Callithrix jacchus: one gene and its partners. The protein of the gene in region 1 binds, or shares a complex with, the protein of each later gene. Links are inferred from orthologs where the notes say so. Each region holds a gene or a part of one and is shown on either strand. Other genes may lie near its edges.

Region 1 (4,248 bases):
ATATATAGAGTCAAGCATATGGAAAGTCAGGGCAGTGATAGACAGGAGCTGACAATTATCCAGAAATGCTCAGATGCATCTATTTAATTCTGACTATAATTCCTAGCCTATTATAAAATAGCCTTCTATAATACTTAAGCTTCTAAGATGTCTTATTTTTTAGAAAATAGATGTTTAACTATTTTCATTAGTTGGATTATTTGGAAGCTAAAAGGAAAGCATCCAAATTATCTGATTCAGATCACTGTGTAGGGTCAACTCCAGCTGACTGTTACCCAAATTGTGGCGATTTACAGAAATTTCAGATTTGCCGTATTATGAAGTATGAACTGTATCTGCCTCTCCCATACTAAAATACCCACCATATTAACCTTTGCTTAATGAATGCCTTCTTTTGCTTCTTTGTCTTACTTACTCTGAGGTTGTCCAGCAAGACACAAATGGACAGTGACTTGGCTGCCAGCTGGTGTTAAAGCCAACTCCAAGAAAGTTATGTCAGTCTCCCAATAACCAAAGCAAAAGTTATTTTTCTACATATTTGCATTCCAATTCTCTAGGATGCCCGAAAGTGACATTTTCTCTCTCCTTAGGGATTCCCGATAAGGGAGAAAAAGCATAAGAACAATAAAGAAAATGGAAAGGACAAAAGATTCAAGTTATCCAACCCCCAAGTAATGACTCGGGAAATATATTCGCTTTTGATTAATAACAAAGCAAATGAAAACTGTATTTTTGTCGGGCGCAGTAGCTCACATCTGTAATCCCAGCACTTTGGGAAGCCAAGGTGGGTGGATCGTCCTGAGCTCAGGAGTTGAAGACCAGCCTGGGCAACGTGGCAACACCCCATCTCTACGAAAAATACAAAAGTAAAAAAAAAACAAAAACCGGCCGGGCATGATGGCCTGCACCTGAGGTCCCAGCTACTCAGGAGGCTGAGGTGGGAGGATACTTAGGCCTGAGAGGCAGAGGTTACAGTGAGCCGAGATTGAGCCACTGCAATCCGGCCTGACAGTGACACTCTGTCTCACACACACAAATAAAGGGGAAATGTATTTTCTGTGCCTTGTACAGAGGTTACACAAGAAGCCTCTTGTGGTGGAAATCAAAGCACGCAGCCTAATTTATACCTGTGTAGCGAAGAGAGCCCTGGAATGGACTTGCTCTTCCTGGTGTCTTGGAACTGACAGCTGTCTCTCCGTGTTAGTTATACTCAGTCTCTATATCCTTAGGCGTCCGATGATAAGGCTGGACTAGAATAACCCTTCAAGCCATGCCTTTATAGAAATCTGGTGCTTCCCTATTAAAACTAAATGCATGAGATTCTGCTTCCACCTCAACTGCCGCAACACCCAAGCAGAGAGTAGAGAAAATTTAAAATGTCTGTTACGCTTTTTCCCCCTACAATGACAGCATATGCTAATGTTTACCACCTCTTAAGCATTGGCAAATGATAAATCATCATCGTGGGCCACTGCTGACGTCTCATTTAACCTTCACAAACCCCAGAAAATGTAAGTATCATTGCTTCTATATTACTAAAGTTTAAGGAGATTACATAACCTGGACAAGATCACAAAGCAAACGGTAACGTCTGGCTTTGAACCTAAACCCTCTGGTTCCAAAGTCTCACCTCTTAAACGTTACTATACACTCTCTTCAAAGATTAACACACAAAAATGTTAATAACATAATTACTCTAAGTTTCACTTTTTGTGTGTGTGGATTTGTATTTATGACCGATTGTAAGGCTTATGTGTAATGTAAGCATCTTTTGTTTAAACTAGAATTAGTCCGTTTTTATGAAGGCAACACCTTGACCTCCACGAGCACAATCATCCAAATGGAGATAGAAACCCCTAACTCTCTCAGAGGCCTGAGTTAGTTTTCTAGCACTCTTTCTCACACGAGGGAAATGTGCGTGCGGCCAGTTCAAAATCTGCCGTAACCTGTGTCTATTAGGGACCTCTTGGGCGTAATAAGACAATATTCCTTCTTCGCAGTTTGAAAGAAGGATAATCAACAGATGACCAGTACCGGAACAGAGTTCAGACTGCAATTCATGAGATCTCAGTCCTTTCCTTCAGTGAATTTTTTCGAGCCCTTTTCAGGTGCAGCTTTGAAGGTTAAAACGAGACACTGGGGTCAGTGGGTCCCTAAGAGGCACCAGTACAGACACAGGTGTGCTTCCCTGCTCCGTGGTGCTAAGGACCAAGCTCTGAAGCGTCCTTAGAGACCAAGGGTCTATCCGTGGGGTTCACCAGGCCTCCTTTCCCAGGATCGGCCCATGACTCAAGGAACTGGGGCGGGGGAGAAGTCGCTTTCCAGAAGCCTTCCGGCCACACCGGTACTGTATTCCACTCTTTCCCTCCGCGGCTCCCCGCACGCTCCCGGGAAAAAGCGGTTCCCTTCTCTTCCCTGGACACCCAAAGATTCCGAACCTCGGCTCCCAACCGGGAGCGGCCTCCGCGGCAGGGCCGCGGGCACTCACCGTCGTTCTCGTCGCTGTGCCGCCGCCGCGACATGCCGCCCTACGGTGCGCCGCGGAGCCGAGAGGCCAGGCGGTAAGCCCTGCAGGAACTGCCCGGCCGTTGGCCGGCGCGAGGGCAGCTGCGAAGCGCGCGGATGCGCCGGCACGCAGGCGCAGTCGCTCGCCACGGCTCCCGGAAGCGCAGAAGAGGCCGCTGGGTGAGCTCAGAGCCGAAAGAGCCGGCGTGCAGAAGCTCAGAGGGCTACGGGCGTCGGGCCCGCACGCAACCGCCCCCTTCGGGCTGCCTCCGCCTGCCGGCTGCTTCTTTCTCCCGCCTTCCGCTCTATGTCCTTCCGGGGCCACGCAGAAAGTGCCGCCGCTTCGACCAGTCAGAGCCCCCGGGCCAAGGTCGTCGTACGTCTGAAGGCAAGTGGTGCCGGCGGCCGCTCTAGTCCCCGCCTCCGTTCAGGCCGGTCGTTCGGGGCGTCTCAATGGTTTTCCCGGCGGCCCTTGCGCCGACGTCCAGGAGACTTCCGGAGCTTGGTGACGTCACGAGCGAGCTTTTCTACCCAAACATGCGGCGGGGGCCAGACTCGAGGGCAGTAAGCAGTGACAATTGCTAAGTGGAGATGGTGCAGGGAAGAGAGACCTAAGAAAGGATCAGGACTGGCGGGTATGTGCTCATCTACTCCCACTTTCCGGCTTTTGCCGCCTTGGGAAAAGTGGGCGGAGAGGTTGGGCCAAGCTGTGCACGCGGGGTGGGGCCTGGGCGGGAGGCGGTGCCGCACGTGCCGCCCCCTGGGATGGAAAGGCCGGTCCTGACGCGATCTTGCTGCTACCTGCTGCTCCTGGCTTGCCGGCTTGCCGTCATTTTACCTAAGTGTTTGCTTAAGAAGGAACAAATGATTTTTGGTCATCTGTCTTCAAGGATTATTGGGTGCCTATATGCCTGTGTGTGAATATTCCCTCCTCTGATGTCTTTCTGAGCACCATACTGGCTTACCTAACTACTTTGTCCATGGCCATCTGAAATTTCACTCTCTCGGACTAATTCTCTTTCAGTCTTATTTCAGTAAATTACGTCATCGATCGGCTGCTTAATCCAAAAGTTTAGGGAGTCTTAGTTCTTTTCCCTCACTTTTTACATAACAATTATTTGTAAACCCTGCGTGCTCTGCTTTCAACACAAATCCAGAATCAGATCGTGTTACTGCTTTGTTTAAAAGACTCCTGTGAGGGCCGGGCGCGGTAGCTAACGCCTGTAATCCCAACACTTTGGGAGGCTGAGGCGGGCGGATCTCTTGAGCCCAGGAGTTCAAGACCCACCTGGGCAACGAGGCGAACCCCGTCTTTACAAAAAAGAAAAAAATAGCCGGCCCTAGTGTTTAGCGTCTGTAGTCCCAGTTACTCAGGGGGAGAGTAGACGGCCGAAGTGGGAGGATCCCTTGAACCCAAGAGATCGAGAATGAAGTAAGTCGTGATTGCACCACTGCACTCAAGCCTGGGTGGCAAAGTGAGACCCTGTTTTTTTTAAAAAAAAAAAAAAGTGTTTTACGACTTTCCATTGCAAACTCCATACCATGGCCTATGGGGTTCTAGCTCTCCTCACCATGCTCCAACCACTCTTTCTGTTCTTCTAGTATGTCAAGCTTTTAGGAACTTATACTATTTCTTTTACCTGAAGGTCTCTGGTTCTAAATCTGCGTGACTGGCTCTTGGTCACTTAGGTCTCAGCTCAATTATCAGGTCCTTAGTGAGGCCTTCTTTGGTTACCCAATCGC
Region 2 (3,972 bases), on another chromosome or scaffold:
CCTCAGGGCCACATGTCTGGCCTGTGTCTGAACGAACAAGACTGAGCTGGGTCCCTAGTCTGATTCCTTTAGGTCAGCTAAGACACAACCAGGATCAGCCATGCTTCCAGGATTAGAAAGGAGGTCTACTGAATGATCCACGGCACCCCTCTGCCTCTGCAGGTTGGTGTAATCAGTTGGGGAGTAGTGGACGTCTGCAAAAACCACAGGCGGCAAAAGCAGGTACCTGCTCACGCCCGAGACTTTCACATTAACCTCTTCCAAGTGCTGCCCTGGCTGAAGGAGAAACTCCAAGATGAAGATTTGGGTTTTCTATAAGGGGTTTCCTGCTGGACTGAATTAAAACAGCTGCGACAACACCTGTGTTCCAGATCCTTTTGGGGCGATGGAGTGGGGAACAGGCACTGGCCATGTTGTTACAGAGATCAAACCTCACAGCCGTTTTTAAAGGCTTAACCCCAATCCCAAGTGCTGAAAAACCAGAGGCTGAGGGAGATGTGTAAGCTTCCACCTCAGTGTTTTACTGAGACCAGCATTGGGGCATATGAGGCACAAGGAATCCAGCTCTGGTCCCTAGAAGCCATCCACAAGGTTTTCCTTGTAGACATCATCACTGTAGACAATCTGGGTCCTCTTGTCCCGGTGGCAACCCTTAGGGCTGTTCTGGACAGCTAGGGAGGGAGGAGAGGAAGAGTTAAGGTCTAAAGGAGAACACAGATCAGACCCTGAGGCCGACTCTGGACTACCTCACTCCTGGCCGGGGTCTCTGGAAGCCAAGTTTTCACACTGCCCTCTGGTGGCCAGGATTGTCTGTCTCCCTTAGCTCCTTCGTGCCAACCCATGGCCAAGAAGAGTACAAGTGGATATTATGATGAATGTTTTGTTCTTAGAAAAATCCCAAATGTCATTGCTGAGACACGTGAACGATGTTACCCACTACTTATAGTATGTCAAAAGTTAAAAACTAGAAAACCTCTGTAGCCCTTTGTTGACATGCTAGTCAATTCTAGTTCCTTCATTTTGTCTGAAGGGTCATTCTTGCTCTGAGCCCTTCTTTCTGCTCACTTCTTTCCCAGGAACATCTACTTTCAGGTAGAATGGTTAATCACACTAAGAAATGCTACTAGCTCCACCAGGAGAACTCATCCAGGGTGTAGCTTTGGCCCTCACCATTCTCTCTCAAGTCCCTGGCTATTTCTTCCCCTTTCTCTTTCTTCCCTCCATCAGACATGTCACTCTTTTCACCCTATCTAACAATTCCATCCCCACCACTCTGGGGCTAGAGAGAATGGCTCCTACCCACTTCCCACCCTGTGATCTCTGTACCTTGACACTACTGGCTACTCTCTCATCTCAAAGTGTGTGTCCTTTGGCTTCAGTGACCCAGGCCCCTCTGATGCTGCTCCCAGCCCCGACTCCTGCTCCTGTCTCCTTTGCTACATCAGGCTCAACGTTAGCCTAACACATCAGGAGAGCTGGGGATACGTGGGGCATGAGGAGGACAGTCCTGTTTCCTAACACAGTCCCTGAGTACTCCTCAAGCCTAGTCCTGGGTCGTTTTTTCCCTCTGAAATCAGTCTCCCTGTTATTGTTTGGGAGCATCGCTGTGATGTGGATGACTGAATCTATGTTTTCATTCCTTACCTCACACCTGAGTTCCAGATCGCTGATTTTAAATACTGATGAAACTTGTTCTACTCCATCTTGAAATGAACAAGTCCCATGAGACACTCATCTTTCTCACCAATCTCACTCCAGCTGCCACTTTCTTTCCTGTTCAGTCACTGCTTTGGAAGTTGCTTTCAATCCTTTTCTCTCCTTTCTTTACCTCTGACGGAGGATCTGAAATTTTCCTTCCCATCCCCACAGCCTCCACACAAACTGACCTCTGTCATCTCTCGGAAACCCAAGTACATGAGGGGAAACCAAAAGGAGTGGGCTGTGGGAGAGACGATGGGGAAGGAAGAATCCCATTCTTACCAAGGGAGCCCCAAACAGACTTGCCAGTAGCGGCATCCAGCATGGGCTGTTTTCGGGCTATATTGACTTTGAGCTGTACAGACTCCACCTGGGTCCCGTTGAGCTGAAGCAGAAGAGGGGAGGCAGAGGACGGGGAACAAAACATTACAGATAAACCAAAGAAGTTATTCCAGGGGTTGCTATCCTAGGAGTAGACTGAATAGGAATCTGAGAATATAAGTTTTTCTGCGTGAATAGGGAGACTTTCTCTATCAAGAGGAACCAACTTCTTCCTGGCATCTAGTATTTTGAGAAAATATGAGAACAGCAGAAGCGATGGGAAGAACAGATTTGGGAAGTTCCAACCTCAGCAACGGCCTGATCTGCTGACTCCATCTTTTCATAGGTGACGAAGGCACAGCTAGGATAAGAGAAAACAGGGTCAGTGGAGAGCCAGTGGGCTCTTGTGGACCCAACCAAACCCAGTGATCATAGGTGGCTGCAGGCAGGGCAGCTTCTTCCCTCAGGTCTCATACCCCAGGATTCCCCCAGGACTTCCTTCTCATCCTGCCCTGTTGTCATCCTTACTTTCTGGGTGGGTCCATGGAGAGGTCAATGATGTTTCCAAAAGGAGAGAAGGCCCCACGGAGGAGGGTGGGTGTCATGTCTTCTCCGTACACATAGAGAGTGTTCCCTTTCCTAGGGGCTCGCCGTTCAGGGAATGAGTCCGACCCTTTGGGATCAGGAATCACAGTCACAAGACATAGCCCATGCCACACTTCACATAGTAGGACCCACATAAACCTTAGTTAAGGTCACCTTGACCTCCAGGCAAGCTCACTCACTGCGGAAAGGACCCTCTCGGTCTCGGTCTCGGTCTCGGTCCCGCTCCCGCTCCCGATCCCGGTCTCGATCCCTGTCCCGGTCCCGCTCTCGATCCCGATCCCTGTCCCGGTCCCGGTCCCGGTCTCTGTCTCGGTCCCGGTCTCGATCCCGCTCCCGATCTCGGTCTCTGTCCCGGTTCCTCTCATGGCTGCGGTCCCGGCTGCGACTTCGGGGAGGGGAGGCTGAGGACCGGGCACCACCACGTTCTTCATAGCCCCAGTCAAAGCTGCGAGGGGGACCATCACCAGCCCCTGGGCCCTCTGCCTCTTCTCCATCTGGCCCTAGTTCTCGAAGCCGGTCGCTAGAAGACACAAAGCTGGGGAGAAGCACACTGAAGATCAAAGGGGGCTTTTACCTTCTCCCCTCAGACCCTGTGGAGACTCAACACTCCCTCAACAGCACAGCCCCTACAGCCCAAACCTCCCAAGGACTCAGGCAATCAACCCCGCCAAGTGGGCCCAGTCTTATCTCTACTCTCTAACCTCTCATACAGAGATTTCCTCTGGGGACGTCTGGATGACTGTAAAAGAGACCAATAATAGTTAAGATTCCCAGTTGCTGACATGTGGTGCAAAATACGTTAGTCTCTCATGTTCCTCTATCCCCAACCCCTCAGAGACAGAAAATTAGGAGCCTTTACCTCCTGAAGGTCATCATCAGCAGATATGCTCCTCTGGAAGGGCTGGAAAGTGGGGACTGGTCCCTTCTCAGGGTCCTGGAGAGGTGAGGGACCTCCCTCAGTGTGGAGCAGAAGGCTGCCCAACCATGGAACAAAGGTGTTCCTCTTTGCTCACCTTCTTCTAGGTTTCCTCTGATCTGTTTTTCCTTTTAATTCTATGTACATTTCTTATTTGACTATGTGGTTTTATTTTTTGAGACAGGGTCTTGCTGTGCTGTCCAGGCTGAAGTGCAATAGTGCAATCATAGCTTGCTGCAGCCTTGACCTCCCAGGCTCAAGCAATCCTCCCACCTTAGCCTCCCTAGTAGCTGGGACTAGAGGTGCGCTCTATCATGCTTGGCTAATTTCTGTATTTTTTCTTTGCAGAGACAGGTTTCACTATGTTGCCAGGGTTAGTCTAAAACTCCTGGGCTCAAACAATTCTCCTGCCTCAGCCTCCTAAAAGTGCT
Region 3 (4,160 bases), on another chromosome or scaffold:
GGTGAGGGTAAGGTTGGGGGAGGAGAGGGGGTTGCAGGCACAACCAGAACATCTCACATGCAAACACGGCTCACCCCCACCACCAGGCCATTGGATTCTCTTGCCGCACCACCAGCCCCATTTGACAGATGGAGGAAATGAGGCTTGGAGAGTTCAAATGGCTTGCCCCAGGGTCACCCAGCCAGAGAGTGGGGAAGGTGACTCCACTCAGGCCTTCTGACTCCAAGTCCAGTGCTATTTCGAGGTAACACACAGGACCTGGAGTCAGGAGCCCTGGGTGGCTCTGTCACCCTCTGGCTGCGTGGTCCCGTACAAGCCGCTCACTCCTCGCAGCCTCTTTCCCCAACTGTAAAATGAGGAGGCGCACGCTGGGCCCGCCCAGGTCCTTTTCCGGCTGGGCTGTGCGAGCCTTCTAGGGGCGGCTCAAAGCTCATCCTATCAATTACATTTCCCAAGTTGGGCCGGCATAGATCACCAGAAGATCCTTGGGCTGTCACGTGGTTAAGAAAAAAAAAAGCAAATGTCCCAGATTAACTTTCACTGCACTGTTCCTGCTGACACCTGATTACTCAATTTTCTAGTTTCCTCGGGTGAAATATTTCTGCTAGCTAGGCTCGCTAGGTAGCTAAAAGGGCAAAATAATTAATCATTGCTAAGCCAAACACTGAAGATGGAGTTTAAATCCGGGGTATGGTCCAAAGCGGACAGTTCTTGCAATGGGTCCCTGAAGGAGTCTCCGGCTATTTCAGGCCTCCCTCCTCATCCGAATTTCAGCGGAGAGATTAGGAGACGCCCCCAGGCAATTGAGAGATCTGGGGACAGAATCGTCCCTGGAGAGACTCTGCCCCTCCTCCCGAAGTCAGTCTCCCTAACCCCAAGCTCTAGGCTCCGGGAGTACGGAGGCTGGGACCCGCCTTCGGCGCAGACACCGGCGCGGGGCGTGTGACGGAGCCTGGCGACGGCGGCGGGAGCTCCACCGCAGTTTCGTCAGAGGTAAAGGTACGCGCCCGGCGCGCACGGCGTGTGCACACACACACACACACACACGCGCGCGCGCAACACGCTCACCACACACTCCCCCTACCTCGAGAAGCGCAATCACACGCCACCAGCCCCTCCGGCCTCTACCGCGAACCCACCCGAGCGTGCCCGCCACCGACCACGCGGCCCCGCGGCTCCCCTACGCAGCGGCGTCTGCAGCTGGCCAGGGCCGGCCTGCCTCCCGCGTGGCGGGCTTCCTGCCACGCCGCGCTGTCCCAGCAGCCGGCCCGAAGTCGCCACCCGGAGTCCGCCCGGAGCTGAACGTCTAGGCTGCGGCGTCCCCTCCAAGTCGCGTTTCACCGCAAGGAGTCAGCTTGCAACCTCTCCCCGCCCACCCGGTCCCATGACAGCTGCTGCCGCCCAAAGACTGGCAGATTATAACAAGAAGCAAAGTTTCCCTCTCTCTCCTCCCACCTCCCTCCCCCCCATCTACGCCTTCCCCCTCCTTTCCACTGTTATGCAAAACGGGCCGGCACCGGCGCTCCCACTCCAGGTACTAAATCAGCCCCCGCGAGCCGCGCCCGGTTCCGCCCGGCTGCCCCTCTCCGTGCCCAGGCGTGTGCCAGCACCCAGGGGCTCCTCCGAGGTTCCGCTGCAACCCCAGCTTCCCTGTGACCCGCAGCCGGGCGCCAGGAGAAAAAGCCCTAACTCTGGAGCCAAACTTTATGCTTGCAACAGGCATTGGGTGGGGAAAATGGGGGAGGGGTGGGGGGCGCGCACACCTCGTGCTGACATTTTTGGTAGCTGCTTGTCCCAGCAGCACCCTTCTCCCAGTCTCCAAGCCACCAGCTTCCTCGCCTCCCCCCACCCCGCGGCACACCAGAGCACTCTCTCCTGTCACGCGCGTGTCGCCAGTGGGGCTCCCGGTCTCAGCCAAAGCCTGGGACTCCGCCTCGCCTTCCCTTCCCCCTGCATCGTGGAGCGCGCGCCGGGACCGCGCGCCGCAGGGGGACCCAGGCGCCCCCAGAGAGTCCTTCCGCCCCCATCCTGCCTGGCTTTTTCCCCCAGAGGGCTCCGCCGGATAGCGAAACCAGGAAGACGCCGTCTCCGCCCGCATGTCCACGTGCCCCGCAGACCCCTGTGCCTTTAGCTGGCAACTGGCAGGAAACTCCGCGCTGCTAGCGCGGGTAGAGAGCCGCGGAGGGCCAGCAACAGCACTCGGGGGACTGGAGGCTGGAGGACTAGAGGACTCCGGAGACAGAGGCTGCGCCCGTGCCGGGGCCACAAGTCCACGTGAAAGTACGGCAGCAAGTGCCGGGCGCTGAGGGCGCGCCTCCAGCACCCAGCGACAGCCTGAGGGTACCCCACACCGTGGCGCGCCTCCACCTGCCCAAGGAAGCGCGATACCCCCAGCTCTGCCCGCGGGGGGGCAGACTCTAAGCGGCCAAGGCTAGACCCTCCCCAGCGGCCGTAGCGCCCCCAGCGCTCCAACACACTCGGGGAGACCTTCGGCTCCCAGCCCCGGTAACGGAGCGCATCGCAGGGCGCCTGGAAGGGGGGCTCTGCAGCCTGGAACCCCCAGTACCCCAGGGCGCCCACCGCTGCCTCCCGGCCTCGGCGGCGGCGGCTGCGGCTGCGGCCCCCGCAGCTCAGTACCCCTGGCCCAGGGCCCGCAGCCCCGGCGGGCCGTACCTGCGTGTCAGCGAGATAGTTGAGGAAGAAGGAGGAGAGCTCTTCGTCCAGCAGCGCGCCGCAGTCGTTCCCCGCCATCTTCCAGCCGCGGCTGCAGCGTGCGGCGGAGTCAACGCCGAGCCGGCCCGGGGGGAGGGAGCCAGCGAGCGAGCAAGGGAGGAGGGAGGAGGGAGCAAGGCCGGCGGGAGGCGGAGGGCGGAGCTCGAGCCCCCGGCTGCCGCAGGGCCACTGGCTGCGGGGGCGGGGCCGCGCGGCGCCCGCGGGAGCCGGGGGTCGCTCACCCACTTTCCTGCGCCTAGTCTGGCGCGGCGGCCGGCTCCAGCAGCCCTCAGACGGGGAAAAAGCGCAGACAGCCGGGTGGCGGTGCCCTAGCCAGCAGCTTGATGCCTGCGCAGCAATGCGGGCAGCCCCCCGCTCCTGCCAGAGCGAATCACGTTGCGTTAGCACTGGGCGGGTCCTGCTTCTTCTGCACAGCGGGGGAAACTGAGGCTCAAGAAGACAAGGACCACGTTTGAAGCCACAAGGCACATCAGTTGCAGGAAGAGAAAGCTCAGGCCTTACTCCCATGGAGGACTGAGTTTCTCTACCCAATCTACCAGGCCAGAGAAAGGGAAAAATACCATAGATAAAAAGCAGAGAAATCAAGGAAGGCTCCTTGGAGGAGGTGGTATTTTAGTCTTTCACTTGAAGTGTGCGTTTGCTTATGTTCTGTGTTAAACCTGATCATCTCTCTCTCTCCCATGGTCTCCCAACACCCTACTCCCCAAAACTTTAATGACTTCTCTTACCGTGGCCCACAATGCGCGAAGGGGCTGGGCTCCTGCCAGCCTCTGCAGGCCCACTCACAACGAGCTTGTACACCCAGCAGCCATTCACCTGGTAATCTCTTCAGGGCATCACGCCATTTCCTCTCCTTCCACCCCACCATCATGGGCTCCCTTCGCTGAGTGGTAGGCCTTTTTTCTTTAAAAGCTAGTCACAGTTGCCATTTTACATTTGTTGCAGTGAAGACTTAATCTTTGTATCTCTTCTTACAAGACTCTAACACCATGCAAGCCGGGCCTCAATCTGCTTTTGCACTTGCTGTATTGGCAGTTCCTGGCACACAGTAGGCACTTAATAAATGATGTGTTAACTAAAAAAGCTGGAGCATTTTCTCTACCACCACCACCGCCACACATGATACAGAAAAGGAGACTCACTGTCAGTGTGCACATGGAGTGACTCTCTGAGCCAGAACCAGCACTCAGACCTCCTGACTCCAAACTTGAACTCTCATCACCATGCCCTGTTTGCCAGACAGGAGGTGAGGGCACTGCCTTCATGAAGGCAAGAAGGCGGGAAGCTTTAGGTCAGTTTTATTGGGCACTCCTGCCTCCTGTCCTCCTTCCACCCTACACTCATAGGAGCTGCCCCACCCTGCCCACCCTACAAGGGCTCCCTTCCAGTGGAAGAAGGAAACAGGGAGAGTCCCCGGTACACCTGCT
Region 4 (4,029 bases), on another chromosome or scaffold:
AGCACTGTCCCCGCCTAGCACTTTCTGCAAGAAATACAATCAATTTCACAAAACACACAAACTCCACCTACCTAATTTTTAAAAATTTAGAGATTCAACTGTGCCATTCCAAAATGGAACTGATCTTCAAAGACAAGTCTGAGACCAAACAGTCCCTACTTTTCTAAGTTCCACATGGATTTGCCAATTTAAAAGTCACAAATTCTTATGTTTACAATGCAGCACTTAGTTCTAAGATCTCTTTCCACAATACTACCAAAGCTCTTGTCACCTGTAAAAGATTTCAGACTTTTCAGTTATTGTCAGATGTTTAAAAATGACATACATAATAATTACTTTTTTTTTTTTTGAGACAGTTTTGTTCTGTGGCCCAGGCTAGAGTGCAGTGGAGCAATCATGGCTCACCGCAGCCTCAACCTCCCAGGCTCAAGTGATCCTCCCACCTCAGTCTCTTGAAGAAATTACAGGCAACCGTCACCATACACAGCTAATCATTTTTTGCATTTCTCGTAAAGATGGGGTCTTGCCAGGCTGGGCATGATACCTTTAAAACCCCAGAGTGTACAGCATTAAGTTTATTTACCAAGTCATGGGTCAATTTATGTAAAACAGCCTGAGACTGAAAAACAAAATACCTTGGTACTAATTTCCTAAGACATTTCTATGCAAAAGAAATCATCTTTGCTGGCCAGGCACAGTAGCTCATGCCTGTAACCCCAGCACTTTGGGAGGCAGAAGCAGGCAGATCACCAGGTCAGAAGATAAAGACCATCCTGGCCAACATGGTGAAACCCCGTGTCTACTAAAAATACAAAAATTCGCTGAGTGTGGTGGTGTGTGCCTGTAATCCCAGCTACTCAGAAAGCCAAGGCAGAGAATGGCTTGAACCCAGGAGGTGTAGGTTGCAGTGAGCTGAGATTGTGCCACTGCACTCCAGCCTGGTGACAGGGCAGACTCCATCTCAAAAAGAAAAAGAAAAAAAGAAAGAAAGAAATCACCTTTGCTTTTTGTATTATACACTAAACCAAGTATTTGCTAAACTTCTACTACACTAGAAATAGAGGTTAGAATGATCTATCTTCCTATCTTCAAATAATAATCAGAGTTAACACTTATCAGGCATTACAGTGTACAGTATGCTCCATAGAAGCCTTATAATAGGCCCAGCACGGGCTCATGCCTGTAATCCCAGCACTCTGGGAGGCCGAAGCAGGTGGATTACTTGATGTCAGGAGTTGGAAACCAGCCTGGCCAACATGGTGAAACCTGTCTCTACGGAAAATACAAAAATTAGCTGGGCTTGGTGGCAGCGCCTGCAGTCCCAACTATTTGGGAGGCTGAGGCAGGAGAATCACTTAAACCTGGGAGGCAGCGACTATGCTACTGCACTCCAGCCTGGGCAACAGAGGGAGACTCCATTTCAAAAAAAAAAAATCGTAAAAAAGCCCTATCAGTGGTACATCATGCCAGTTCCACAAATGGAGACAAAAAGCGGTGAGGCTAAATAAACCTGCTGTAGGTCACACACTGGTGGCACCAGGATTTGAACACATGTAGCCTGGCAACAAAGCTCTCTCAAAGAGAGTGCTACCTACCTAAGGCAGTCAAGACAAATTCCCGTTTAGAAAGCTGGGTAGCTGGGTCTGGCACGGTGGCTCACGCCCATGATACCAGAACTTTGGGAGGCCGAGGCAGGAGAATCACTTGAGGTCAGGAGTTCGAGACCAGCCGAGCCAACATGGTGAAACCTCGTGTCTACTAAAAATACAAAAATTAGCCTGGCGTGGCGGCAGGCGCCTGTAATCCCAGCTATTCGGGAGGCTGGGGCAGGAAAATCGCTTGAACCCGAGAGGCCGAGGTTGCAGTGAGCTGAGTTCGCACCACTCCCACTGCACTCCAGCCTGGGCGACAGAGGGAGACTCCATCTCACAACAACAAACAAACAAAAAATTAGCCGGGCGTGGTTACTACGCACGCCTGTAGTCCCAGCTACTTGGGAGGCTGAGGCTGGAGAATCGCTTGAACCCCAGAGGCGGAGGTTGCAGTGAGCCGAAATCGCATCACTGCACTCCAACACAGAGTGAGACTCCGTCTCAAACAAACAAACAAAACCAGGGAAGCTAATGCAAAAACCTATACCGTGGTACCTCATGACAAAGCTAGGTTCGGCGGAAAGATGGAAGACCAGGTCTCTGAGTAAGCGATAAACTTCATTCCTGGGTCTCAGTCTCCCTTCGGTCCAGGTAGAAAATGAGCATCACAGGCTATTTAGGGTCGATGTCCCCAGATGCTACATTTTTAGTAAAATCTACCCCTTTACAGTCACCTAGCGGCGCTAGGGAAGCCCTAAGTTTATGGGCGGAGGTGAGATGGCCCAGAGACCGCTGCGAGACCGCCGTAAGCCCGCCTCCAGGAGTCGCCAAGGTTCGCGCACCCCGCCTCGCAGCGAGCAGCCGGGTCGGGGTCCGCAAGCCTAACCGCTGCCGCCGCTACCCCCCGGCCTCCCAAACCCGGGCTCCGTGAGCCAGCCCGGGTGACGCCTGCTAGCCCTTCTACTGCCAATGACCCGGCAGCCCGGGCTCCTCGCTCCCACCACTCACCCTCACCCTCATCGCCGCCCGCGCGCTCCCCGGGGCCCGGGCTTCGCGCGCCCAGCCACGACCACCCACCCTCCCTTCACACTCACTGGCACTTGCAGCGGCCTGTCGCTGGGTGCGACCGTCATGTCGGAATCTGAGTCGGAAAGCTGCCCATCTTCCATGTCGCCGGCCTCCAACGCCATCTTCCCGCGGCGCGGCGCGGCGCGGCGCGGCGCGGTGCGGAGGTCTACGCGGCGACGGGTCAGGAGAGCACTTCCGGCGGGAAGGCCCGGCTGCGAGGTTGCTGGGGCGCCCCCGCGCGGAGGCCTGCCTGTCCCAGTGGCCTGAGGCGTCGCCATTGCACTGGAACTACGCCGGAAAAATGAATCCCTTGGGCCCTCAACACTTTTCTTCCAAACTTTATTTTCGTGCAAACATAAATATGTTACGAGTTGCGGTCGTCTGGGATTCCGCCTTTGGCCGTACATCCCTCGCCTGTATGCTCTGGACAAGCCTCCCCCTTTCCATTCTTGCTCCTCCACAATCCACTCTACGTATTGCTTCCAGTGAAGCTTTTCAAGCAGTATAGTCCGCCCTGTATTCACTCCCTATCCACAGACGGCGAACCTGCGGATGGGAAGGACCCACCGTGCACCGCCACGTAAAGTAAGGGGCTTGAGTATGGCGGATGTTGGTATCTGTGGGGGGGTCTTGAAAACAAAGACCTGCGGATACCGAGGGACGATTGTACCTTAGCTCGAATCTTCCAAGAGCGTCCCTCCCCAAAACAAGGACTGAGTTCTCAGCCTGGTAAACAAGGTCCTGTGATCTGGGCATCTGGCCACTGGTCCTGGTGCGTCCCCATGCCCAACCGCTGGCGTGCTGCTCCTTTATTCATTCCAAGCTAACGGCCTCTGCATTTGCTTTTCACTCGGCCTGGAATGCCCTTCCCTCAACCCACTCCATTCTTTAAAGGTTATCTTGGAACCGCCTTTGCAAAAATTTGTAACAGTGAGAACATTATAGCAGTGGGAGGGATCTGATCTAGCCAACCCCTATCTTGCTTTCAGCCTTCAAGCTGCCCCTAATTACTCCTGGACTTGGGCCGGTTGATTTAATTTTGGGAGACATTTAGTTTATTTATTTGTTTGTTTGTTTATTTATTTATTGAAACGGAGTTTCGCTCTTGTTACCCAGGCTGGAGTGCAATGGCGCGATCTCGGCTCACCGCAACCTCCGCCTCCTGGGTTCAGGCAATTCTCCTGCCTCAGCCTCCCGAGTAGCTGGGATTATAGGCACGCCCCACCGTGCCCAGCTAATTTTTTGTATTTTTAGTAGAGACGGAGTTTCACCATGTTGACCAGGATGGTCTTGATATTTTGACCTCGTGATCCACCCGCCTCAGCCTCCCAAAGTGCTGGGATTACAGGCGTGAGCCACCGAGCCCGGC
Region 5 (2,555 bases), on another chromosome or scaffold:
AGGAAAATGAGATGTTTTGGTTTTTTTTTACTGATCACTACATTTTTTCCTAAACTCAGAAAAATATATGAGCATGTAAAGCATCCACGTTATTGCTTTGAACAGTTTCTATAGGTGCATTAAAAGAGGAACTCTATCTGAAAATCCACTTACTTTTCACTGTAGAGGATAAAAGGGCCCTTTCTCATATATTAGGTCAAGGTCCAGAGTTTAAACTTGGGTTTAAAGGATGCAGTGCTGAGGATATGGTGTGTACATGGAAAAGGCAAGCCACTTGTGAGAGTCTGGTGTAGAAGTTATTTTGTTGTTTGCGGTGTAACTTTTGAGACTGTCTCTCTATTAAGAGTCTGGATTTTCCATAAGTGCTTCACAGATTATGTGAACAATCCCCCCTTTTTTTGGGCAAGGGATTTGTGGTAGATTGGGATGAGAGAATTTGATTTCCAAATCAGAATTAATGAATATTTTTTACCATGCTTAGAAATACTATTTAAGCAAGGCTCTTAAGTTGCTTAACTTTTGTTTCTATTTGAAATTCTAGGGTGACAATGAAGAACAAGAAAAATTACTCAAGAAAAGCTGTACGTTATATGTTGGAAATCTTTCTTTTTACACAACTGAAGAACAAATCTATGAACTCTTCAGCAAAAGTGGTGACATAAAGAAAATCATTATGGGTCTGGATAAAATGAAGAAAACAGCATGTGGATTCTGTTTTGTGGAGTATCCTTCCTGTGTTTAATGTAGCTGTTGAACCAGAGTAGAGCTGAGAGTGGTTGGTTGCCTGTTTGAAAAAAAAAAAAAAAAAAAAGTGAGGCTGTTGGTTCATAAGCATCCCTGCACTTGTTCCTACGTTTTCCTTCGTCTCCCTTCTGCCTTCTGTCATATTTATCTCTGCTCTTATACTATGAAAGCTGCTACTCTTTACATTCTCTTGAAATTCATGCTTTATGGTTAAGAAAAAGTTTTTCAAGAATATTTGCCCTTCATCTAAAAAAAATTCTAAAGAGCATAGTGAAAATATAAAAACCTTGTTCTGTTCTAAACACCTAATTCCCTTTCCTAGAAGCAGTCAGTTACCAGTTTCTTGGGTGTCTTTCAAAAAGTAATCCTGTGGGTGTGCAGTAGTGTATTTCATGTGCTGGTTTTCTTTTTAAATAAATTTTTTTATTGTTCCATTTCAGCACACGTAGGTCTGTTTTAAAGACAGCTGTATAGCTGGGTTTGATGGCTCACATTTGTAGTGCTAGCTACTCAGAAAGCTGAGGTAGACCCAGGATCACTTGAGCCCAAGAGTTCAAGGCTGCAGTGAGTTGTGATGGTGTTCCAGCCTGGGTGACAGGGCAAAACCCCATTTTTAAAGAAAAAAAATTTTGAAGGAAAATAGCTGTATAGTATTTCATTATGTAGATGTATATGAGTTGACTGTATAGGTAAAAACCAAAACTTTATTTACTTGTGATCATTTCATTCATTACTTTACTCACACTCTTTAAATATTGGACCTCCTGGATTTATCCTATGTTCTTTTTACTATATTTTATGCTTTGTTCATTCAGTTTAATATTCTGAGAAGTTTTGCAGACACAATCTAATGTTTCTGTTGAATTTTTTTCTGTGCCCTGATTTTATGTTTGTTTTGGTTGAAAATTTTCCTTAAGTGTCTGGTAATCCCTGGATTTCTGTTCATAATTAAGAACGCTGATTCACTGGACCTAGGCAGGGCTTCTCTCCCAGATGCTGGGTTGCCTTGGGGATATGCGGGTTTCCCAAATGCTAGAATGAAAAGAGATTTTATTTTGGCCTGCTAACATCAAAGCCACTAGTTCCTCCAGATGGTTTATTGAGAACACTATTGTCTTAATTGTCTGGGATTAAAAGTCTTCCTGCTTGCAGGTCTTCCCAGATAGACAATTAAATGGAGATCTCTGATTAAGTAGGTTTGGGAACTACTACCTTCTTGATACCTCGAGTCTTTCCTTCAGTGAAATGCAGTGCGATTCCATGTGCACTGTGACCTCTTTATTAAGGCTGCTCTGGAATATGTAGCACCTAACTTGAACATATAGCATTTGTTTCTTGGATAAAAAGTGTACAGTGGTCTAAACCTGCACTGAATGTATTTTATATTTTGCAAACCAAAATACGGAGATGATGAGACCAAAAATTATCAACAGGAATGTCCAGGAAATAATGATCAGTGTAGCCGTGGGTAAGTGTCACATTTGACCATGTGCTTCTAGACCAATTGCAAACAGGCCTGTGCAAGCTGAATTACTGTCTTTGCACTACCGCTGCTTGGATTAGCTCTTAAACTTTTTAACAACTCAGCTTCATTTACATGTTGTCTCCCATTTCCAAAAATGCTTGGGAAAATGCTAGTGTTCCTTAACACTTAAGATATTACTCACGAGCAGATGCAGAAAATGCCATGCGGTACATAAATGGAACTCGTCTAGATGACCGAATCATTCGCACAGACTGGGATGCAGGCTTTAAGGAGGGCAGGCAGTATGGCCGCGGGCGATCTGGGGGCCAGGTATGCAAGAAGGGTC
Region 6 (3,500 bases), on another chromosome or scaffold:
ACAGCTGTGATCATCATCAAGAACTGCTAATACATATTAAGTATTTAACTACCTGTGTTCTATTCCAATAGTGTTATCATACACAACCCTTTTTCATGGAATACTTAAGCTATTTTGTAGAACCCAGTTTGGAAATGCAGCTCTAGGCTAATTTTGTCAGAGGCTTTACTACCATGTCCGCCCTTTCTTCCTTCCCCGTCTGCTTCTCCTTCCCTTGCCCTCCCTTTCCCCTTCCCTTGCCCTCTTTTTCTTTCCTTTCTTCTTCCTTCCCTCTTTCTCTCTCTTTCTTTCTTCTCTGTCTTTCTTTTCTTTTCTTTTCCTTTCTTTCTTTTTCTTTTTTTATTTATTTTTAACTTTTCATTTCTTTTGAGATGAAGTCTCACTCTATTCCCCAGGCTGGAGTGCAATGGTATGAACTTGGCCTCAATATCCTGTGGCATTGAGTGGTAGCCTCAATATCCTGGGCTCAATCCATCTTCCCACCTCAGCCTCCCAAGTAGCTGGGACTACAGGCTCATGCCACCATGCCCAGCTAATTTTTGTATTTTTGGTAGAGGCAGGGTCTCACTGTGTTGCCCAGGATGATCTCACTTCAAGCGAGTCTCCTGCTTTGGCCTCCCAAAGTACTGGGTCACAGGCGTCAGTCACTGTCCCTGGCCTATATTTCTCTTCATTAGTTGGTTTGTATATTTACTGATGATAATCTATTGCTAGATGAGGCCATAGTGATGACTGCAGTGCAGAATCTGCTCTCAGGAAACTTACTATTTGTGTGCCATGTAGCGTCTTATTTTATATTTTATTTAAGGTAATGTAGTTTGGCTGGATGAAATGACAGCTGCACGAGCCCTTATCAATATGAGCTCTCTGCCTGCACAGGATAAGATAAGAAGCAGGGATGCCAGTGAGGACAAGTCATCTGAGAAAAATAAAAAAGGTAAGTGATGAACAAAAGAGGGAACTTGGGTTTGAAAGTCCTCTTCTTCACTCAGTTCTGTTGTGCGCTGTGCGTGTCTCAGCAGAGTGCTGTAGCGTCTCATCAGGTGGTTCTGAAGTAAGCTATGATGCTTTAGATCATCAGCAAAGGGGAAAATACTGGACTTTTAAAATTATATGAAATAGTTCATCCTGTATCTCATTATATGAAACTTTTACCTTGTTTCGTCTTGTCCTTCACATTCCATGTTAGACAAGCAGGAAGACAGTTCAGAGGATGATGAAGCTGAAGAAGGAGAGGTTGAAGACGAGAACACAAGTGACGTAGAGGTTAGTAATAGGGCGAAGGTAGATGTCAGGCTCTCTTGTAAAAAATGCTTACTGTCTTTTTAATTTAAGTCTTAAAGACTTAGTTGTGTTTTTCCTCTAGCTTTCACCGTGAGACCTTCTGAGGATGCACAAAGCTCTTGTCCTTTAAGGTCATGTGGATGTAACAATTCACCTTGAAACCCCATAATAGTGCTCATCCTTCTACAAAAAAGAAAATAGTTTTATTGAGAAATACTTTGAAGTGTTATCTAATCAGTAAAATTAAGAAACAGCAAGTAATGACATATTTCCTAATGGATTATGTACTGCTGTTAGAAATATTAGCATGTATTCATTTTTAATTTTTTTTTTGAGATGGAGTTTCGCTCTTGTTACCCAGGCTGGAGTGCAATGGCGTGATCTCGGCTCACTGCAACCTCCGCCTCCTGGGTTCAAGCAATTCTCCTGCCTCAGCCTCCCGAGTAGCTGGGATTACAGGCACGCGCCACCATGCCCAGCTAATTTTTGTATTTTTAGTAGAGACGGGGTTTCACCTTGTTTGACCAGGATGGTCTCGATCTCTTGACCTCGTGATCCACCCATCTCGGCCTCCCAAAGTGCTGGGATTACAGGCGTGAGCCACCGTGCCCAGCCGCATGTATTCATTTAAAAAATATTTACTGAGTACCTACTATACGCCATATTCTAAGTGCCATGGATATAGCTTCAAGCAAAACAAAGTCCTGGTCTTCTTGGAGCCTGCATTCTAGTGGGAATACAGGTGATACACCGATGCACAGATCCTAATACTGTGTCAGGTGGTGACAGGTGCTGTGAAAACAGGAAAGAGTAGGGAATAGAGAATGGCTGAGACTGTTCCTTTAGACAAGGTGGGCGGGAAACCTCTGAGTTAGAAATTCTACAGAGGAACTGGTGCTATAACCCTTGTACGCATTAAAGGTAGAATGCCTTTCTTAATGGTAACTTGACTACTGAAGAAATATGAAAAGGACTTTAATTTTTATATTAAAAATACTCTTCTTTCTTAAGTTGGACACGTTGTCTCAGGTAGAAGAGGAGTCTTTGTTAAGAAATGATCTTCGTCCAGCTAACAAACTTGCTAAAGGAAATAGGTTATTCATGAGATTTGCTACAAAAGGTAAATTTTTTATTTGGTATTGTTTTGTATTTTCAGTCAAAATGATTTATTGTGGAGTGACATCCTTTTTTTTTTAATAGAACTTAGATCAAGTAGTCTCAAAGTTCCCTTCAAACTATAGTATTCTTGCTTATGAAATAAGTGCTCACTGCCTGAGCTGGAATTTCTGACTTTTAAAGTGAATATATTTGTATACTTCTGTGACTTCTAGCTAAAGAAAGTGATTTTCTATTAAAACTGGTTTGCCCCATGTGTTTTCAGCCAGTTACATCTGAATTATGAAAACTTTAAAATGAAACGTTTTAATCTATTGCAGCAGGATCCTCCTGAACATTGCCAGTATACCATTAAGCTCTAATTCCCGTCTCATAAGACTTTTGCACACAGTGACTTTTGGCGGGCGTTTAAAAATGTGTGTGTATGTGTGTATATGTGTATACACATATACAAATCCTGTTTTTTGAGAGTTATTTGAAGATAAAACCCGTCACCCCTAAATACTTGAATACGTATTCCAGAGAACAAGAACATTGTCTTTCACTGATAGCACACTCATCAAAATCAATGCATCTGACATTAATAGAGTACTGTTACCTAATCCGTCGTCCATATTCAAGTGTTGTCAGCTGTTCCAATAATGTCGCTTCTGTATTCCCCACCCAGCCCCCAGGTCTAGGATCTAATCCAGGACTGAGTGTTTTTAAGGATGTCACGTTTCCTTAGCTTCCCTTAATCTGGAGCTACTTCTGTCCTCCCATGTTTTCCAAGAGTATAGGCTTACTATTTTATAGGATGTCCCCGGTTTCGGTGTGTCTGATGATTCCTGCTGGTTGAATTAGGGTTGTGCATGTGAGGTAGGCGTGCCATGGAAGTGATGTCATGTAATTTCCAGTGCCTCATGTCAGGAGCCCTGGGACACTTACTTGTCCCATTCCTAGGGATGTTCACTTTATTCACTTGGTGAAGGCAGTAATCACTAGATTTTTCCACTGTAAAGTTACTGTTTTCCCATTTGTGTCTTAAAAATTGATGGGCTGGTGGTTGCAGTGGCTCATGCCTATAATCGCAACACTTTGGGAGGCTAAAGCAGGAGGAT

Evidence for each region.
Region 2: the proteins of NCBP1 (region 1) and NELFE are in contact, whole or in part, in a crystal structure (PDB 5OOB), measured with the Homo sapiens proteins. The link is inferred for Callithrix jacchus from reciprocal best matches to the Homo sapiens genes NCBP1 and NELFE. Residues at the interface, in NP_002477.1 of Homo sapiens: Tyr461, Lys511, Lys557, Ser558, Ser560, His561, Ser564, Lys568, Ile609, Arg610, Gln612, Cys616, Lys647, Met648, His651, Glu705; in NP_002895.3 of Homo sapiens: Arg362, Ile365, Val366, Tyr367, Ser368, Asp370, Val371, Tyr372, Gly379, Phe380.
Region 3: the proteins of NCBP1 (region 1) and PPARGC1B are in contact, whole or in part, in a crystal structure (PDB 6D0Y), measured with the Homo sapiens proteins. The link is inferred for Callithrix jacchus from reciprocal best matches to the Homo sapiens genes NCBP1 and PPARGC1B. Residues at the interface, in NP_002477.1 of Homo sapiens: Glu26, Asp29, His30, Ser33, Leu34, Lys37, Val38, Lys41, Ser42, Ala43, Cys44, Asn49, Gly52, Leu53, Val56; in NP_573570.3 of Homo sapiens: Tyr1006, Glu1007, Ala1008, Met1009, Asp1010, Phe1011, Asp1012, Leu1014, Leu1015, Lys1016, Glu1017, Ala1018, Gln1019.
Region 4: the proteins of NCBP1 (region 1) and PHAX are in contact, whole or in part, in a cryo-EM structure (PDB 8PNT), measured with the Homo sapiens proteins. The link is inferred for Callithrix jacchus from reciprocal best matches to the Homo sapiens genes NCBP1 and PHAX. Residues at the interface, in NP_002477.1 of Homo sapiens: Cys380, Lys381, Pro384, Pro388, Gln389, Leu391, Ala392, Thr395, Phe417, His420, Leu421, Asn423, Phe424, Gln425, Arg427, Trp428, Ser429, Asp432; in NP_115553.2 of Homo sapiens: Ile114, Asn115, Asn116, Ile117, Trp118, Gly119, Val121, Leu122, Glu124, Gln125.
Region 5: the proteins of NCBP1 (region 1) and NCBP2 are in contact, whole or in part, in a crystal structure (PDB 5OOB), measured with the Homo sapiens proteins. The link is inferred for Callithrix jacchus from reciprocal best matches to the Homo sapiens genes NCBP1 and NCBP2. Residues at the interface, in NP_002477.1 of Homo sapiens: Glu32, Cys36, Leu71, Thr74, Val75, Arg77, Leu78, Leu79, Ser324, His325, Trp326, Lys327, Glu328, Arg329, Lys330, Ile368, Val370, Met371, Thr374, Glu378, Asn415, His419, Ser422, Asn423, Gln425, Lys455, Arg458, Leu459, Ser460, Tyr461; in NP_031388.2 of Homo sapiens: Gly4, Leu5, Leu6, Lys7, Leu9, Arg10, Ser11, Asp12, Ser13, Tyr14, Glu53, Glu54, Gln55, Tyr57, Glu58, Leu59, Lys62, Ser63, Asp65, Lys67, Ile69, Tyr89, Asn96, Arg99, Tyr100, Asn102, Gly103, Thr104, Arg105, Leu106.
Region 6: the proteins of NCBP1 (region 1) and NCBP3 are in contact, whole or in part, in a cryo-EM structure (PDB 8BY6), measured with the Homo sapiens proteins. The link is inferred for Callithrix jacchus from reciprocal best matches to the Homo sapiens genes NCBP1 and NCBP3. Residues at the interface, in NP_002477.1 of Homo sapiens: Lys330, Ile377, Glu378, Cys380, Lys381, Pro384, Pro388, Gln389, Ala392, His420, Asn423, Phe424, Gln425, Arg427, Trp428, Ser429, Glu431, Asp432; in NP_001107590.1 of Homo sapiens: Glu572, Asp574, Glu576, Leu577, Gln578, Ala580, Trp581, Gly582, Leu584, Ile585, Lys588, Glu589, Arg592.

The regions. Positions count from the first base shown.
Region 1 is NC_133502.1:145,760,772-145,765,019, reverse strand, and holds the start of NCBP1 (nuclear cap-binding protein subunit 1), read right to left. Parts: upstream 2,801-4,248; 5' UTR 2,523-2,800; coding exon 2,489-2,522; intron 1-2,488. UniProt on the Homo sapiens protein: Component of the cap-binding complex (CBC), which binds cotranscriptionally to the 5'-cap of pre-mRNAs and is involved in various processes such as pre-mRNA splicing, translation regulation, nonsense-mediated mRNA decay, RNA-mediated gene silencing (RNAi) by microRNAs (miRNAs) and mRNA export.
Region 2 is NC_133505.1:39,471,458-39,475,429, forward strand, and holds the end of NELFE (negative elongation factor E), read right to left. Parts: intron 3,560-3,972; coding exon 3,485-3,559; intron 3,365-3,484; coding exon 3,327-3,364; intron 3,161-3,326; coding exon 2,805-3,160; intron 2,693-2,804; coding exon 2,548-2,692; intron 2,381-2,547; coding exon 2,326-2,380; intron 2,084-2,325; coding exon 1,981-2,083; intron 672-1,980; coding exon 574-671; 3' UTR 501-573; downstream 1-500. Other genes in the region: CFB (complement factor B), read left to right, coding at 163-318. UniProt on the Homo sapiens protein: Essential component of the NELF complex, a complex that negatively regulates the elongation of transcription by RNA polymerase II.
Region 3 is NC_133503.1:48,438,521-48,442,680, reverse strand, and holds the start of PPARGC1B (peroxisome proliferator-activated receptor gamma coactivator 1-beta), read right to left. Parts: upstream 2,801-4,160; 5' UTR 2,752-2,800; coding exon 2,674-2,751; intron 1-2,673. UniProt on the Homo sapiens protein: Plays a role of stimulator of transcription factors and nuclear receptors activities. Activates transcriptional activity of estrogen receptor alpha, nuclear respiratory factor 1 (NRF1) and glucocorticoid receptor in the presence of glucocorticoids.
Region 4 is NC_133503.1:82,384,416-82,388,444, forward strand, and holds the start of PHAX (phosphorylated adapter RNA export protein), read right to left. Parts: upstream 2,801-4,029; 5' UTR 2,783-2,800; coding exon 2,687-2,782; intron 25-2,686; coding exon 1-24. UniProt on the Homo sapiens protein: A phosphoprotein adapter involved in the XPO1-mediated U snRNA export from the nucleus.
Region 5 is NC_133516.1:25,211,496-25,214,050, forward strand, and holds part of NCBP2 (nuclear cap-binding protein subunit 2), read left to right. Parts: intron 1-541; coding exon 542-723; intron 724-2,400; coding exon 2,401-2,539; intron 2,540-2,555. UniProt on the Homo sapiens protein: Component of the cap-binding complex (CBC), which binds co-transcriptionally to the 5' cap of pre-mRNAs and is involved in various processes such as pre-mRNA splicing, translation regulation, nonsense-mediated mRNA decay, RNA-mediated gene silencing (RNAi) by microRNAs (miRNAs) and mRNA export.
Region 6 is NC_133506.1:67,508,873-67,512,372, reverse strand, and holds part of NCBP3 (nuclear cap-binding protein subunit 3), read left to right. Parts: intron 1-808; coding exon 809-937; intron 938-1,189; coding exon 1,190-1,266; intron 1,267-2,295; coding exon 2,296-2,404; intron 2,405-3,500. UniProt on the Homo sapiens protein: Associates with NCBP1/CBP80 to form an alternative cap-binding complex (CBC) which plays a key role in mRNA export. NCBP3 serves as adapter protein linking the capped RNAs (m7GpppG-capped RNA) to NCBP1/CBP80.